3 linked regions of the Xenopus tropicalis genome follow. The protein of the gene in region 3 interacts with the protein of the main gene of each other region in a biochemical or structural test. Links are inferred from orthologs where the notes say so. Each region holds a gene or a part of one and is shown on either strand. Other genes may lie near its edges.

The links. The genes of interacting proteins can lie anywhere in the genome.
Region 1: the proteins of tjp2 (region 3) and ctnna1 form a complex in vitro, tested with the Homo sapiens proteins (2 studies listed by BioGRID and IntAct, with this or other methods). The link is inferred for Xenopus tropicalis from reciprocal best matches to the Homo sapiens genes TJP2 and CTNNA1.
Region 2: the proteins of tjp2 (region 3) and ocln form a complex in vitro, tested with the Homo sapiens proteins (3 studies listed by BioGRID). The link is inferred for Xenopus tropicalis from reciprocal best matches to the Homo sapiens genes TJP2 and OCLN.

What each region holds. Positions count from the first base shown.
Region 1 is NC_030679.2:19,988,865-19,995,389, reverse strand, and holds the start of ctnna1 (catenin alpha-1), read right to left. Parts: upstream 3,627-6,525; 5' UTR 3,402-3,626; intron 1-3,401. UniProt on the Homo sapiens protein: Associates with the cytoplasmic domain of a variety of cadherins. The association of catenins to cadherins produces a complex which is linked to the actin filament network, and which seems to be of primary importance for cadherins cell-adhesion properties.
Region 2 is NC_030677.2:182,414,692-182,421,187, reverse strand, and holds the start of ocln (occludin), read right to left. Parts: upstream 3,627-6,496; 5' UTR 3,542-3,626; intron 1-3,541. UniProt on the Homo sapiens protein: May play a role in the formation and regulation of the tight junction (TJ) paracellular permeability barrier.
Region 3 is NC_030677.2:129,427,254-129,433,261, forward strand, and holds part of tjp2 (tight junction protein ZO-2), read left to right. Parts: intron 1-1,182; coding exon 1,183-1,285; intron 1,286-1,799; coding exon 1,800-2,409; intron 2,410-5,604; coding exon 5,605-5,708; intron 5,709-6,008. UniProt on the Homo sapiens protein: Plays a role in tight junctions and adherens junctions. Acts as a positive regulator of RANKL-induced osteoclast differentiation, potentially via mediating downstream transcriptional activity.

The sequences.
Region 1 (6,525 bases), on a different chromosome or scaffold from region 3:
TGTATTGTCTGCAGCTTGTCAGCTTCTAGCCAGCCATTACGCATCTTACAACTGAATACTGCTTTAGAGGACTGGTCAGGATGTACACAACTTTTTGCAAAATTATACTGAAAAATAAGGCCCCACATTAAAGGAGACGTATTGGATAAATTGGAAAAATGCTAATTTTGTAGGCAATTATGAATAATATACGGTGCTGGTTTCCCTTTGTGCTAAACATTAATCCTATCTGTAACAATGGCCCCTTTATTGGAGCTCCCTATAGATCCTATCATTTCTCCGTCCAGTGTGAAATGGAGTGGGCGTGTCCTAGCGGTCCCTGCCAGAAGCACAGTAGGAGGGGGAGAGCCAATCACAGCCCTGCACTCACACAAGCAAAGACCAGCTTCAGTTCCCTATCAGGTCAGCCTAGCTGCTGATTGGTTCCTATCCTACAGTGCCGCCGGCTCCCCAGCTCATCCAGAGAATTCAGCCAGCAGGAAGTGGAATAGATGGGCGGGGCTAGTGGGGTTTTTGTGGAATTTCTCAATAAATCAGTCAGAAACACAGCATTTTTAAGCACATTCCTTCTATATCTAGAGGAGTATAATTCACTGGTACATTCATAATTTTTATAGGATATGTCTCCTTTAAGCATATTTTTATTATTTGAAGTAAGATTTTCCAGTGATCTACTTTTACTTAAATTTTTGCAACAGGGTCTTCTATCATTCACATTAAGGTTGTCACCAAGTCATTGTCCAAGTAACTATACCAAGTCATTCTGTAACTTCTGTTCATAACAATTCTACTATGCAGATACCAGGAAACATCAGAATGGTAATAGTTTCACACAGGCCCGCTTGTTTGCCCCTATGCCAGCAATTGGAACTCCCTAGTTTGGCTGGGGTGCAGGGGTGACCAAATTGGGCAAAGATCCTCTCAGCTGGTGACCTTGCCAAAGAAGTGTATCTTAAAAAGTGTATGGCCAACTTAGTGCTTACTGTTACATGTTGCAGTATAAAGGTGGCCATACACAGGCAGATTTTAGCTGCTGATTTAGGTCCTTCAGATCGATTTAGCAGCTTTTCGGCCCATGCATGGGCACCCCTGACAGGCCTACCAGACCAAGATCTGACCTAAAATTGGGCAGATTTTGATCGGGCAGGTTTGATTTTCCGTCGCATTGGGGACAGCATCGGCTCCTTGATGCAGTCCCCGATCTGGCGGCGCCTATGTACGCAGTTGCTGAATTAGTGCAATATCGCCCACCTTTAGGTGAGCATATTGGGAGAAGATCCGCTCAATTGGCAACTGAGCGAATCTACTAGTGTATGGACACCTTTAGGCTGATGTCCTGTGGAGAGATTTAGTAGCCCGCAATAGATCTCTGCCAGTGTCGGACTGGGACCCCAGGGGCCCATCAGAAAAGCTTAGACCCGCTTTCCAAACTATTTTTCCTCCTTTCTTTACCCAACCTCTTTATTTTCCCAGTCTCTTTTATTTACATGCTAGCATCTATTCTTCCCTCTATTTCTCCTCTTTCTTCCCATTCAGAAATAGGGAATGAGCATGAAACAGGCCAAATGGTTAGGAGCAAGAGGGCCCACTTACACCTGGGCCCACTGGGAGTTTTTCTGGTATCCTGGTGGGCCAGTCCGACACTGATCTCTGCTGCCACAGGTAGCAAATATCTCCAAAATGCCTTTCCACCGGCAACAATATGAATTGCTGGTGGAAAGGCCTATAAATCGTTTCGGTTTTCCGAAGTTGTGCAAAGTTGCCTCCGGAGGCATCTTCGGAAAACCAAAGCAATGCGTTGGCCTTTCCACTAGTGATTCGTACTGTTACCAGTGGAAAGGCATTTTGGAGAGACTAATTAGAGATCTATCGCAGGCGACTAAATCTCTCCATGCCACATCAGCCTTAAAAAGGGCAACATACGAGCTTGTTCAAAAAGAGATAATGAATAGGGCTTCTGCTGGATATACTTTTTGCCATGAAAAAAAAAAAAAAAAAAAATCTATGGCTTTGTAATTGAAAATACATGTTTTGTTCTTGTGAGGTAGATACACCAGATTACCAGTGAGGAGATAAGCAGAAGTCAATTATATAAAGAAATTATCTGTGACTGGTAAACTTATTAAGCGCACAAAAACCAAACATGAAATAGTTTTAATTTACCTTCAGTTGTAACTTAATATCAAAAACCATAGTTTTCTGACTTGAATGCTATATACACACACATATATTTACATTGTTTATCTGATTTGCACCCAGGTTGTTATCCCTATAAGTGTGTGCCTCAGCATATATTATATATATATATATATATATATATATATATATATATATATATATATATATATATATATATATATATATATATATATATATATATATATATATATATGTATGAATGAGAGAGAGAGAGAGAGAGAGAGAGAGAGAGAGATAAGATCCGATGTGACCAGCACCCAGGGCGTTTGATTCTCTTAAGGGTGTGCTCCGTTTGCTCTTATATACACACATACACCACTGATCTCTTAATTATAAAAAAAAAAAAAAGAAAAAAAAATTATCCCTTTAACTTATGTTTTAAACTTTTATAGGTCGCTATACTACCCCTTTAAAGTAGTTTCCAAGGTCAATCTCTGCATTTTGAAGCTTATCAACAGCACGGACATTCCCAGCTCCTTTTATCTTATATGGCCAGAAAGCAGCTCTGGGAATCCGCTGTCACTCAGAACTATTGTCACTGCAAAGGTTTGCATCCAAACTAACAAAATCTACACTCTGCTACAGTTCTACTCATACTGCAAAAAAAGTAACAAAAAACACACTTACACATGGTATCTGTTCCGATACAACAGTCTTATACTTCATAGAACAAAACATCTGAATTCTTTTGCCTTCCAGCTAGCTTTATCAGCTTCAGCCATGTTGTAGGGGGAGGCTGGGGGCAGCAGTCCAAAACAAAATTCCCCAACCGCCCGTAAGCCGAAAACACGGATTTATTTCTCTTTGCCAATACAAAACGCAGAGCGAAACTAAACAACGTTTCGTTCTCAGTCCTGAAACGCCCGCTCCCCTGTACTAACCTGCTTTCCCTATACACAGCCGGATAGTGTCTCAAACCAATTGAAATAACTATAACCAATATGTTCTATAGCGGCGTGTAAGTGTAATCATTTTAGCATCAAAATATTCCAGAATTGTTTCAATAACGTCCCATATACCAATAATTATTAACCATTTCTATTACAAAAAAAAAAAAAAAATCAGCGGCCCGGGACACTTGGTCTTCGGCTGGAACCATATTCATTTTTGAAATACTTTAATTACAAATACGCCATAAAGTTTCAACAAAACTATATCTTTTTCGAGGTTCAAACTTCTAAAACAATACTTTTGTAACTCACCTTCGTCGGTGTTCACACAACAACGACTTGGGCGGAGGCTCAGGCTAATGGCAGGAGCCTATTCTTTACTCACGAATTCCACTTTATCCTATTCCGTAAAGTGTAGGAGGAAACAGGATGAGACGAGCAGTTCCTGTCTGAGAGCCCCTCCCAGAGGGTTCATTCCACAGTGGACCCGGGACAGAGAGCCGAAAGTAATTTCGTGTCAATTATCTTTGGTTCGCTATAAGATTGTAATTCGAGGTGAATTTTTCTAAAAGTTGTTAACTATTTCTCAAAGAAACGCAAAAAAGTATGAAAAAAGGGAGGGGCCTGGATGGGCAATCCCAGCATGCCACACCCCGGTATCAGGTAGGGCAGGCATAGAAAGGCGTTGGTCTGTAGTTTCGCCCCCAGAGAATGCTATGTGAGACACTGGAGGAAAAGTCATGAAAACCTGGATTGCGTGCACATTAGATATTCAGGATGTAGGCGCAGTGTAGTAAATGCATCACCAAAGTGTAAAATGACACTAAACGTGATACATAGTTTCAGCTGGAACTAAGTATTGTAGCACCCAGGGCAATATGGCAACTGGTGCGCAGATTCCACCCCTCCCTCTCCATTTAAGGCTACTGTTATACCTGTATAGTTTTAACGCCTGGAAAACATATATTTGAATAAAATATTTGTATTTAATATTTCTAATTGTATGTTATCTGTAAGGAGAATCTTACCTATAATTCTCTCGGGACACCTCTATTTTTTACATGTTTATTTTTTGGTGCAATCCTGTATTTTACGGTCTTTTTCTCTTTCTTATCCTTTATATTTCTTTCTCTTCTTATATCCCTTCTCCTTCCCTGATCTTTTTGTGTCAGCTCAATAGCATCTTACTGCTTTCTTTCCTCCACCACTTTTCTTTATTTTACCTTTTCACCTTTCTCTAAGAGCAATTCTCTCCTATCCTTTTGCCATTTGTTCCCTACTTTATCCTGCTCTTGTTCTTTCCTATCTCCATTTTACAGGTGCCATTTTCCACCTTTTGCTAAGCTTATGTTGTTCTCTTTCTCTATATGTTGTTTTCCTTTCCTGTTTGGTGTCTCCTTTTTCTATGTATCTCAATCCCCCAGCCCACATAGTCTGCAAGTATTAACATAGAAGTAGCACTTAACTCTGATTGCAGACACTATTCAGTGATAGATCAGCAGCTCTTGATTCATAGGCTAAACACAGGGACAATACAGCCATAGCCGGCCCAAGGAGGTTTGATGCCTTAGGCAAGGGTGGTGAGCTGCAACCCCCCACCACAGCCCTTGCCAGTGGGTTAGACTAAATCACGCACTTAGAGCTGCTCCTGATTAAACCTGAACCATCACTCTGGTTCTGCCTCATCTTACCAGCCCAGAAAACAGACATTAATTTGTCCCTCAGCATTCTATTATAGAGTATTACTGCCGGCCTCAACATAGCTGACAGTGTCTGCCCTGCTCCACCAGGTTAAAAATTTTGCTAATCGTTCAAGTGATGAGGAGATCTGAGACTGGTGCTTAAATGACTGTCACTATAAAATTTTTAAAGGGTAAAGGGTGGGAACCTGGTGCAGCAGTGTGAACTGCTACATGATTATCATTGGCACTGACTTACTGTTTGTACTGTATATTACAATGCTGGTTGTTTTTTGCTTGTAGAACTAATTTGGACGAAGTAGGGGAGGGAGATAGGCTATCATTGAAATTTTATAGGAAAAAAATTTGGGAAAAGTGCAACTTCCTTCAATACCAAAAGTGATTGCGCCCTAGATGTGCCTCCCTGCCTATCCCTAGTTACAGCCCTGAATAGAGATAATTCAGTATGAAAATCAATCTCTCCAACTCTTACTGGAAGGGGGTTATTTCCAGTATTATCAGAATAGCGTGGCTACTACAGTGCTACAAGGAACATGTTGCTCTAAATTAAGAGAAATTAAGCTGACCCAAAAAACTCTTCCCCTGCAGTACTCCAGCAACCAAGGCTTGACTGCTTACCACTACTTCTGGCCATATGTAGTAATGTCAATAGTGACTCCTGTGAGACACCATAAACCCAAATACATATATATTTCTATGTAAATACATTTTTTGCACAGTCATACAAGCAGTGGTGTGGCTTAATTTGCCCTACACTGGAAACAGACAGTGGGTGGTAATATGGACAGGCAGTCAGGCACTTACAAGTTACGCCACTGCATACATGATTCCTCAGACTGAGGAAAAAACCACGATAGTCTTATTCACAAGGACCATGCCACCCCTCCCCCAGCCTGGCAGCACCATTCAACCCCTTACTTGCAGTCCTTCTGCTTTCCAGAGAATCTGTGCACCTCTTACCATGTAGCGCAGAGTGGCTTTAAAGCCCAGAATGCATTATTTAGTGGCACAACTTAAGGCCTAGGAGGGCCCCTGCATCATGTTGCTATGCTAGGTCCCAACTAAGCACCAACTAACAATGGCAAGCATGCAGTTAGTAGAAAGGGTGCAGGTAGGATGCAGATCTTTGCCTGGCCTCCGCACTACAGTAACCTCAAATATGCCAGTAAGATCATTGTACAAATGGATAATGACCACTGCATCAACTTCAGACATGTCAGTATGATCACTGTAGAAAATGACTTATGAACACTGCCCTGGTGGCTCTGATGTTGTTTAAAAAGATCAGAAAATGCTGCATTCAGTAGCAATTACATTTACAAATAACTTTTGAAGCACTAAATAATATTATTCTTTAGGTTGATGTCCTTTAAAGGAACTTGCATCAAAATGTGCTTCTTGCACTTTAGTGTTCGGCTTCACTCAGTCCTTGCTGCCTTCCAATCTGAAATAAGTGCTGCTGTGCTTATAAAACACCAAGCACATCGCCCCTTGTGACTGCAATGACACTTGAATTCTGGGAACAAATACTGCATTATGGGGAAAAAACATGGCAATTACACTCTAAATTGCATTTGCAAACATTTATGTACCTTCTTGTCTTACCATACACAGTATTCCACAGAGTCCATTCTCCTATGCCATCTTCAGGCCCGGATTTGTGGCGAGGCCACAAAGTCCCAGGCCTAGGGAGGCACAAAACATAGTACATAACAAGTACATAGAGGTAAAGGTGA
Region 2 (6,496 bases), about 53 Mb from region 3:
AACAAAAATTCAAAAAGGCAAGTTATTTTCCCTAACATTTCAAGGCCTCATGGCGCTTTATTGGCTGAGAGTCAGCAGTTACAATTGTGGCATTAGCACATAAGAATCCTGTATCCTAGCACAGGAACAACCCTGCTGTGAAACATGGGGCCATGACTGAAGAACACTTTCTGGGAGGAAAGGGAAGAGGCCCCCGGAGAGATTCTGTACTTTAATTGTACTTCAATGCTTTTCTGTAAAGAGGTCAGAAAACCATCCTGTGCAGTATAACCCCTCTTTATGATAACTGGAATGAAATGCTCATTAACTCACCAATTATTTGAGCATCAAAATATACAAGAGGCTTGTGGCTTTGTAAGGTCACTGAATTCCATATTAACCTGGGATAGTCCTTATATATTACACTAAGGTGCACTTTACTGCACACAGGAATGGTTTTGTTGAAACATTTACTTGATAAGTCTACACTTGTAAATATTATGGATGCACTAATGGCAAGGTTAGCCAAGTAGCAAAACTGAGCTGGGCGGCTGCGAGTAACCAGGTATTTATTTATACATAATGGATGCAAATAAAATCTATATATAAGTTACTTTGGTACATAATTAGGGAACAAATGCAAGAAAGTCTGGTTTATATTGTTATCACACATGTACCGACTATTTATATATTCTGTCTGTTGCTGGAAGAGCAAGACATTTAAGTACATAGAAAGTACCAGGGACATTTCATAATAAGTAAGTGTTACCATAAACAGAACCCAAACCAGAGGAGAGGCCGCCCTTGCCAGAGTAACAGGGTTGCAGATACATGCAAACATCAACAGATTAGTCATTCTGCTTTTGTGAATAATTGTACACCCCAAATCGTACCCTATACAGCCATTAGGATACAAGCACCATCAATGCATGTCTATAGTGGGGCAGTTTCAAGCACTTAGTCTGTTTGAAGGTGTGACAGTCAAAGTGCCATTACCCTTAAGAAGCCCAGCCCAGTAATCCATATCTCTATAATATCAAAGTGCACAATACAGGTATGCGATCCGTTATCTTGAAAGCTACAATTCAGACTTTTAATAATGGATTTCCTTTTTCTTTGTAATAATAAAACAGTACCTTGTGCTTGATCCCAACTAAGATATAACAAATTCTTTATTGGAGATATAAAAATCATATTTGGTTTAATTTATCCATAAATTATTTTTTTAGTAGGCTTAAGGTATGAAGATCCAAATTTTGGAAAGACCCCTTTATCCGAAAAACCTCAGGTCCCAAGAATTTTGGATAAGGTCCCGTACCTGTACTGGGCAGTTAAATGGCTACAAATGCAATATTTTATACACTGTACTTCACCAGCCGAATTGTCACAGGAGCTCCTTATTTTGTGTCTGTGACATGGCTAGTGAGCTCTGAGCTGCTGCAGAGAAGCTAATCTTAGGGCCGTGACAGACGGGGAGATTAGTCGCTCGTGACGGCGACTAATCTCCCCATTATGCCATCCCACCGGTGAGAATGTAAATCGCCAGTGGGATCGCATACATGGGGCCGAAATCACTGAAGTTTCCTCTCAAGGCAACTTCGGCGATGGCAGCGCCGCGTATACCATCCCACTGGCGATTAACATTCTCACCGGTGGGATGGCATATCGGGGAGATTAGTCGCCCGCTACAAGGGAGATTTTTTGTGGGCGACTAATCTCCCCGTCTGTCACGACCCTTAAGGGTTGTTGCAAATTATCAAGCAGAAAATTTGATTTGTCTGTCATATAAGCCAATGCTACAGGGCTGATTATTACATTCTGATGCTAATTACACTGAGGGCTGTGGTTGCCTTGGGCTAGGCACCACACCATATTACACCCCCTAGGTTACAGAAGTGATATCACTTCCGCCGCAATCCTCGCGGGACCCCCTCAGCCCCCAGCTCCGCTGCCAGATTTACCCAGAAAACATCTGGTGGTGGCTGGGGAGAATTCCTCCGGAGGCTGCCACCCTAGGCACAGGCCCGTGGCTTTTCTAATATAGACATGGCCCTGCTGGTATAGAAGCCCAAAACATAATGTACATTTCTACCCTACTTCTTTAGTTAGGTTTTAGTACTCCTTTAAGCTGGCCATAAACGCACCGATAATATCGTACGAAACCCTGTTTCGATATTCGGTGCGTGTATGGCAAGTCGGCGAGTCAATCGGCCAGGTCAAAAGATTTTGATCGGGCGCCATAGAAGGCGACTGATGGTCGCACGAAAGATCGGAAATCGACACGTGTGTGGCCACCTTTAAGGACACTTGCAGTTACCTGTAACAGAAATCAGACATCCCTCACAACACACCATATTGCTTTTTTCCAAAACCTACCCCATCGCAAGTGACTGGGGACTGCATTACTGAAATATTACATTACAAAGAGCACTTTCCAAATAATGCAATAGACAGTAAAAAAAATAAATTTGATACAAGCACCAGATAAGCAAGGCATTCTGTTACAAACTGCCCAATAAAATAACAGTTCCTCCCTGAAGAGTTGTTTTGATTTAACAGCAGTTTCTTGATGTCTTGCCAAGTTATTCAGAGCACCCAAAATGCACGGTCTGAGCAGTAAACTTTGGGAAATGGGCGTAAGTAGTAATATAACAGAAAATGGTGTAAAATGCACATAACAACCAGTACCAGTCTTTGCCATATATAGTTGAATTTTAATAACAAAATAAATAAATGTGCTAATTCTGCCACAGAGCCAAACTGAACCAAGAGTTTTAGCCCTCACAGATCTCAGCGACTTTCCAACTCCAACGGAATTGGGTAAGAAACACCAGGGACCACATATGAAACATTGGGGCATCAAAAGCTATTGTAAGAAGTGAATTTGTTAACTGACCTTGTTTTTCTACTAAATATTTATATTTAGACAGTGGGAAGTAATTAGCGTACCCTGTGAAAACCTATAGGTTTTGTGAATAATGCCCTGGCAGGAATCAACCCCGGGTTCACTTCCAATCAGGGCACCATACACAAGTGTTCTCCCAGGGTTATAATTATATTTATACACAGTGCGCAAGAGAAGCAATTGTTTGCACAGAAGCCAGTTTTAGGGTAAGTGGGGCATACATTTAAAGATCCGCTTGTTTGGCCAGGTAACCAGATAAGTGAATGTTTCCACAATAAACCAACCTTGAGGTGGGCGATATCGGGCAGTTCCAACGAATGTATGCAGGCTATCAAGTGGAAGGAATTAGCCTTGGAACAAGCCATTGTGGTCCTTGGCCCCATTTTTAAACTTGCCCAACTGACTGCCCGTGTATGGCCACCTTTAGTACATACAGGGCAATACCCCCCACAGCCTTCTGTTATTTATAATGAGTATCTAACATTTACTCCTCTCCCTAGGGCAGAACTCCAGTACACACACAGCAAAATGGAGTCACTTTACTAGCCCTGTTATCTAAACAACCAACACTCTCTGTGTAACAGGAAATAGAGCTAGGGATAATGTCCCTAAAGATAATATAACCAGCAAATTAAATACATAATTTATGATTCTCACCTGTATAAACACCTGCTATTCCCCAGCGGGAGCCCCCTCGGATCCTCTGACCCAACAGAAAGTTCAGAAACAAATCACTTCTCCGCGCCCAGAACGGAGCCAACGTTCCCCAAAGCCCGCAACCTGCTGCTCTGCCTCGGTCTCCCCCTACACCTCTCCGTCCCTCTCAGCCCCGCCTTGGCTCCTCCCCCTCTCCCCTGAGGGTCAGGGCGTGGCGGGAAGGCTGCACCTGAAACTCAGTAGGGAGAATAAACTGGTTTGTGTGACTCCATACGAGCAGGTTTCGGCCGGTGCTTTGTGAGCGCTGTTGTTTCTGTGTGCAGCTTACATGTCCCTGTCAGGGGAAAGAACTTGCCTTGTTTCTCTCATAATAATAATAATCATTTCCGAATGGCTGAGCCTGCTGTGTGTATAGTGAGGGCGGGTATCACAATGCGTGTGGGGTCAGGGGAGAGTTTATATTACCTGTGAGCTTTGATCCGAGCAAATAACGATCTCAGTTTGTGCTTTACTTACGCAATTGGGGGAAATTTTAATGAAAACTAAACTTTCAGAATAAATGCTTAATCAACCAATGGTTAATATAAGTGATCTAGATACTTTTTTCGTGTAAGTTTATAGTGTTTGTTTTACAAGTAAAGTAACTAGTGGGGCCAAATTGCACCAGAACTCCCCCTTTTAGTGCCGCCATCAGTGCCCGATAGGATTACACTGTCCTGCCCAGTAAAAATGGTTCCTGGTATCAATGTCAGTAAAGAGGGAAAAAAAATATGGGCCAGTATTTGTTTTTTGTTTGTTTAGAAAAGAAGGCAATCCTAGTGTCAGATGCCAAATAGTAACTGCCCCACGCCCCAGCGTACAACTGAATGCTTTTAGTCACTGCTGAAAAAGATGTATCACGTTTTCTTCTTAAATTAATTTCATTTTCTTCTATTTCATATTTTAATCTTTTTTTCTCCTTAATATATATATATATTTTAATTTTTCTTCATGTTACAATAAACTGTATTTCTCTCCTCCTTCACTCTTCCACTTCTTGATAAAGGGCCAAAATGTTGCCTGGTCTTCAGCCTTAATTCTCTCCTCATGTTCACCCCCTACAGCTTTTTTTATTCTCCATATCAGCAATTTTTTCTTTAACCCAAAACATTTGCAATTTTCTTTTTCTCATGTGCAATTTTGACACCTTACTCCAGGGGTGCCATTCTTTTCGCTTTTGCCCTGCATTGAAGCAAGAGAGCCCTGTGATATTTTGAGTAACTGGGAGCGCCGCACAGTACCACAGACAGTTAATGGATGATTAACAGAAAAATAATGGACTCCTGCTCTGTATTTGAATAGTGTAAGACTGGTCTGAGCTGGCAATCTGTAGGTCCTGGCAATTGCAGAGGGGCTGCTATGTGATGCCATAGACAGAATATATTTTGAATCACAGTCCAGACCTGGTGTCAGTGGGCATTTAAAGTTAATATTTCTTTGCTATAAATAAGACCAGCAAGCTCTTGTAGTGGATGTAGTTCAGTACTGTTCAAAATTGAGCTTTAGGGTGAAGACTCAGAGCTACTAGTAGCAGCTACTTTTCCTGACTGCTAAAAAACACAATGCTAATCATTTACTGATAATTGTCTCTACGTGTTTTTTAGTAGAGGCAAATCTCAGTATTGTCTATGGCAAGGAATTTTCTGGAGTTTAGTAGCCTTGAAAAAGTAGCTGCTACTAGTAGCCCAGTGTGTCTTCACCCTTAGACAGAAGCTGGGCGGAAGGCTGTAGTGAGCTAACAAGCTTGCACCCCCAGTGCTCCAGTACCCAAGGAATAAGCCTAATTTCTGGCGCTGGCCACCCTGAGCTACTTAGTGCCGCAGCGCTTGTGATAACTTCCCAGCAGGCCTCATAGGGGATGGGCAATGGTGCAGTCACAGCCCCTGCATCATTCAGTGATATTTTGTCTCCCCATGAAAAATTACATGCCCCCCATGGTTCTCATCTGCATTACTATACTTTAGTATGATTCTATACAGCCTTCCTAATTATTGTTTGTGTTCTACACATTTGTTGTGTATGCTGGAATCATACGCCATTTTGTATCATATATTTGATGGAAACTAAGCTGCATTAGTCCTTATCGACAAAACAATTCTATTGGTTTTATTTCATTTTGTTTTATCAGACTTAAGTTATGATGATCAAAATTACAGAAAAATCCCATATCCAAAAATGAACAGGCTGTAAGCGTTCTGGATCCCATACCTATATAACTGTCAGGGTATTGTTTTGTAGATCTCTGTCAGATGGGCACACAGAATGTATTAATGTTACCATGATTTTTGAAAATAAAACCAACTTTGCTTTATTTATATGTAATAAATATATTATGGGACCTATTATTTTGAATGCTTGGGACCCAGGGTTTTGAAGATAAGGGGTCTTTCAGTAATTTAGATCACCACACAGAAGTCTACTAAAATTGATTAAAGCATTAATTCAGCCAAATAGGATGGCTTTACCTTTAACAAGGATTCAATTTATCTTTGTTGGGATGAAGTAATGTTTTTTTTATTACAGAGAAAAGGGAAATTATTTTAAAAATGTTAAATTGTTCAGTTAAAGTGGACCCATCTCCTATAGACCTTACTGTAACTTAGACAGGTTTCCAGAGAATGGATACCATACCTGTTTCCATATCAAGCAGCAATTCAGGTGGCTGCCATAAATATGTAGCGAGGCTCAGTGTAATTTATTTCTGTTGGGTGACAGTTAATTTCAAAACTGAATGCTGGGAGCCAGGACATTAAGAAACTGAAACTTTTATCAATATATCTGAGTTTCTACCCATGGAATGAAATGCCTGCCTGCTTTGTCATTCCCTAGCTGCTGAGATAAAAATCTGTAGCCATATTGTAACATTTGTTTGTGTTATCAGTATGTATGATGTGAATGGAATCATAATTGTCTTGG
Region 3 (6,008 bases):
ATAGTCAAGAAGTGCTTGAGTGCTCCGTGGCAATGATGGTATTTTATAATATCTAGGTATTGAGAGAGTTGGTATATTTTACGATTGAACTATACAGCCCTTGATACAATGGGGTGTTCTGTGGCGTATGCACCTGTTGGGGGTTAGGATGTGTGCCATTGTGGTGGAGGAAGCCTGCACCTTAGCTAGCATGCTCCCTCTCCGCTTTAGCCAGCTCCCCCTCTGCTTGCCTTACTTGGGCTTTGCTTGTGTCCCATAATATGTTTGGAGTGGCAGTATTAGCATTAGAGTCCCAGAATTCCTCATAGGCCTCTTTATTCTTTGCCTCTACATAGGGATTTTTGAGCCATAGGGGGCTCAGTCGCCAGTTTCTTTGTGATATTAGGGTCAAAACATAACTTTACTGTAGTGTGCACAAACAGCAGTGTTTTCAAACATCAAAGTGTTCCATTGTATCTTCTCTCTACTGGTGTTTTCAAAGGAACTAATTGGTTGTAAAATTATATAATTAGGGAAACAAAAATCTTTTATTACATTTTATAATTTTGATACATGGATGTGATAGAGAGAGAGAGAGGAATGTTCAATGATAGTCATGTTCCTGAACTTCCCTTCTATTAAAGGAGAAGGAAAGGCTAATAAAGAGTTAATCTCAAGCTGCAGGCATACCTTCAGTTGTCTCAATTGTGCCCTTAAGTCTCCCCATATTTCTCCCGTTCAGATGATCAGATGCCAGACAGGAAGAAAAACTGCTGAGCTGTGTAAAGAAAGTTCCCATAATGCCTCACTCCTGCACAGACACCCAGACCAAGTGAACATGCTCAGTTAGTTAGACTATGAGTCAGCTTCCTGCTAATTGGCTCAGATCCACATTCCTAAGGGGGGGGAGTGAGTTCTTAGCATTCTTGAGGGAGGGGGGAGCAGCAGAGAGGAAAAAGCTGAAAGCTGCATCTCTGGCAGAGGAAAACAGACACGACTAATCTTTTTACAGAGAACTCAGTGCAGCATTTCTGTGAGTGCTTATGGCTGTATTTACATAGACCTTTCTGATAAAGCTTACTTAGTTTTTACTTTTCCTTCTCCTTTAAGGCATGTTGGAAGATTTTGACGATTCTAATATGAAAATGCTTTATGTATTTTACCAGTGGTTTAAGAGTAATGCTCTCTTCCATGTTTTTTCAGAGTAAATGATCGTGTGGTTATGGTTAATGGGACACTTATGGATAATGTGTTCCATGCATTTGCAGTTCAGCAGCTACGGAAATGTGGAAAAACAGCCGTCATAGTAAGTGTCAGCTTTGATGGCTACAACTTGTGAGGATTTGTTTTGGGTCCTGAGTAATACACACAAACAGATGTCCATTTTAACACAACAGCCAAACAGGCAAACTATTGACCAATTTTGCGGCACACACTGGGATCCCAACACAGGTTTAAACAATCTAATCAGATGGGTGGCCAGTTATCCATTTGGCCAGTGATAATATGTGCAAACAGTAATGACCATTGACAAATAGATTTACAAACCAACATTGCCAGTACAGGTCACATAGACCAATACACAAAGTCAAATATAGACCATTTTGGCTGCAATTATGACTATGATGTGTTTGTATACAGTGAAGCAATGAGTCAAACTGGTCTCTATTTGACTTTTTGTATTGGTATATGTGACCTGTATTGTAAATGGACGTGTTTAGCAGATTTTTGTTTTGGAAACAGTAGACCACACTTGTCTGTATTTCAGTTCTGACCCTAATACCAAATAATATTTTACGGATTTCTTCAATCTGTACTAGGTTGTGAAAAGACCTCGAAAAGTTCAGGTGACTGCAAGAAGGTCACCTTCTCCTGAGCTGGACCCTAGAGATATTGATGCTGTAGACGATGATGGACCCTTTGAACACAGAAGTGCTTACAGTGGCTACAGCGAGAGGAGTTGGCATAGTGGAAACGGTCATCACAGTAGAGAATCGAGTCCAGACAGAGGCTACAGCAAGGACCAGGAAAGAGGTCGTTCCTACGACAGGGATCAAGACTGGGTTCGTGGGCGAAGCCGGGAGAGGGATCTGGACGATGAGCGAGAATACAGGCGGGAGCGCAGTAGGGGTAGAAGTCTAGACCGTGACCAGAGTGAGGAGCGTAGATACAAAAGAGATCACAAAAAGAGTGTGGACAGAGAGGAATCCTTTGAACGCAGCTACAGTGGAGACTACAGCCCAGACCGAGGCAACGGCAGGAGACTAGCACCTGACTACAGGAGTGAGAGGGAGATGCCAGTGAATCGTGCTCGTGATAGGCTTCAGTCCCACAGTCCTTCACCTGAACCACACAGAAAATCTGCTGCAGCTCACAAGGGACATGATAAGCCCATCAGTGTTTTGCTTAGTAAAAACAAGCCCAGTGAAGGTAGGATTATAAATACAGACATATTTAGCAGTCTGCTCTTGACAGCAAGCTTTGCAATCAGAAAGGCAGGATTTTCGACAAAACTCCCTGTTCGCGGGCGACTAATCTCCCCGACTTACATTTTCACCGGTGGGATAGCAGGTGATGGCAACTCGGGGAGATTAGTAGCCCGCGAACAGGGAGATTTGTCGCGGGTGACTAATTTCCCCGTGTACCAGAGCCCTTAGGGCAGTGGTACATGGGGAGATAAGTCAAGTTGTCTCAAGACAACTTCAGGCGACTGCGGGACATTATAGTGGCGCGTATGCCATCTCACCGGCAGTTTGCATTCTAGCTGGTGGGATTGCATTGCGGGGAGATTAGTCGCGTTGTCGTGGGGCGACTAATCTCCCTGTGTACCACTTGCCCTAAGGGTGAAAACACATGAAGCTACTAGTAGCAGCTACTTGATGTGACTACTAAAATAGACAATCCTGATAATTTACTGATAATTGTCTCTACGTGTGTTTAAGCAGAGGCAATTCTCAGTATTGTCTATGGCAGAGTATTTTCTGGAGTTTAGTAGCTGCTGCTAGGACATATGGATCAACGTAGTAGCAGCTACTTGTCACGGCTACTAAACACACATAGGGACCAATTATCAGTAAATGATCAGAATTGTCTATTTTAGTAGCCGTGAGAAGTAGCTGCTGCTGCTAGTAGCTCTGTGTGTCTTCACCCTAAAGATGGTCATTGAGACTGCAATATGAGGCACTAAAACTAGAACCTACAAAAAATAAATATTATAATATGTTGTATATTATAATATTTTCACTATACCAAAACAAAAGAGGAAAAAAATAAAGGTTTATAGCAGTGGTATAACTAGAAGATACTGTGCCACACAGTAAAATCATTTTAGGGCCCCCCTAAGCTTTTAAGATTTAGATATATTTCATAAACCAATATTGAAACTACTTATTAGTCTGTGTTCCAATGGGCCCCCTATACCTCCTGGGCTCCCCAGCATTTGCAGGGCCTGCTTTCTTTAAAGATACACCCTGGTATATGGAGGTTTGCCATCTTTTCTGGTTTATGAGGTCTGCTATTCAGAAGGCTCAGGAACAGGGGTTTTTCAGATAAGGGGTCTATTCAGAATTTGGATCTTTGTGCCATAAGTTTACTAAAAATCATTGAAATACTAAGTAAACACAATAGGATTGTTTTGCCACCAATAAGGATTGATTGTATCTTAGTTAGGATCATGTAGCCTTGATATATAATGTGGAAATTTGAGTTTTAAATTATTTTTGCCCTTGCTTTTAGAAATGAATTATCTTTAAATATTAACTTCACCTTGCATTAAACAAACTGAATTATAATGCTGAACTGTAAGGCAGAAATATATAGTTTAGCTATTTATATAATACATTGCCTTGAGTAGATTGTGCCTTTTCAACAGTTTATTAAAAACTGACTTTAATTATATGAAGGAATAGGTGTGAATAAATCAGTTCCTTGGATATTTATTGATGACCTCAGGGAGTACAGACCAGGGACTTGATTTGGCCATGCAATTCCCTATTTCTTCTAAGGCTTCTAGATATATGAGGAAATACTGCGTAGGAGTGTCTGAGTAATGAAATGTGCAGGGGTATTGGTTACTCAGAAGGTTTACTAAAGACCCTTCACTTGCTGGTGATCGATTTAAAAAGTGTCTCTACATAAATTTCTTAGGACTGAGATTCTGCCCTTGCATGTAATCCATCTTTAAATTGAACTGCAGGCACTTTGATTTATCATTTAGGTTGAATAGATTACACTAGCGATTAGCAAAGGAAATTACTTTAACCCCCTCTGAGGTATAGGCAGACCTTCATTGTTCATCGCTCTTCAGTTGTATTATCGGGCAACTAGAGCTGCAGCAAAAGCATGTGTAGCTTAAGGGCAGTGACACATGGGGAGATTTGTCACGGGCCACTAATTTCCCCGCAGTGCCATCCCACCAGCTAGAATGTAAATCGCCGGTGGGATGGCATACGCGGCGCCTCGATTTGCTGAAGTTGCCTTGAGAGAGTGTCACTGCCCTAAACCCCGCCAACACTTTATGCCAGGGGTCCTCAAACGTTCTTACTTGTGAGCCGCAGTCAAATGTAAAAAGACTTGGAGAGCAATACAAGCATCATGGAGGTGCCAAATAAGGGCTAAGATTGGCTATTGGGTAGCTGCTAGGCAACACAAGCATCATAAAAGTTCATGGAGGTGCCAAATAAGGGCTAAGATTGGCTATTGGACTGTCAGCTTACAGGGGGCTTTATTTGGTAGTAAATCTTGTTTTTATTCAACCAAAACTTGCCAACAAGTCAGGAATTCCAAAATAACTACCAGGTTTGGGGGCACTGAGAGCAACATCCAAGGGGTTGGTGAGCAACACGAGCCACTGGTTGGGAATCACTGCTTTTTGCCATAAATCTGTATTATATATTTAGCTGTCCTGCACAGTCCTTTAATGTTAAATAAATCCATGCACATGGCTACCAACATGGAACCCTACCCCAGTTTTGAACCTAGCAAATGACACAGGCCAGTGGGAGCAGGCCCATAACCGGAGTGCTATGGGCTTCAACATTATACATGCAGTTATGTGTCTTATGACTTCTGTACAGGAACTCTTTGACATGACATAAACTGTAGGTATATTATTTATGTTGGGTTTTAATTTTCCCTTTACATAGAACACATGGTAAAGGGCATTACCGCCAAGAAGTGGTTAAATGCATTTTTTGTGCCCCTTTGTTTACACTTTACATTTATAATGACTATTCTATGTAGTGTTGACTACTCCTATGGGGTATATTTATAAAGCTGTGTTTTACACCCCAAAAACTACATGATGCATTTATAAAACTCTTCCACATGAATGAATCCATTTTAGAGAACTAATTATTGTGTTTTGAAAGGTGTGTAGTAAGTTACACCAGATTAATGCAGAATATAGCACCTCAATGCTGTTACCTATTTCAGGCAGAGAGAAAATTTTGGCAGTAAGATTGAGGAAAAATTGTGTTTTTACAGTTGATTGTTTTCTTTTTTTTTCTTTAATGTGTGTCAGCTTTACAAATACATGCCACACCATAGAGTTAAAATGACAATATTTTTGAACACACCTTTAAAAGCATGCACCTTAAGCATCATGACTCCTTTTCTGCCCTGCAGAATATGGTTTGCGACTTGGAAGTCAGATTTTCATAAAAGAAATGACAAATACAGGTCTTGCAAGGAGAGATGGAAACCTCCATGAAGGAGACATTGTTCTTAAGGTATGTTACGACTTTTGGTGCATGTGATTACAAACCTCTACACTTCTGCCATACTCCATGTAGATTACTGCTTATGTATCCCTGTGCATGCACATAATGACCTTGCTTGCAAATACATTAATATACCATTTTAGAAAAAAAATTAATGAAAAAAATGTGCGTATATACCAGAACCCTTTGCATGCTTCTATTATTCTACTTTTCAGATCTGTTGAGATTCAGAGCAATGAAAGTATTGTAGAAAATTGAGTCTTGGCAAGAGGAGAGCTGATTTACTGTTAACGAAAGTGAACATTTTTA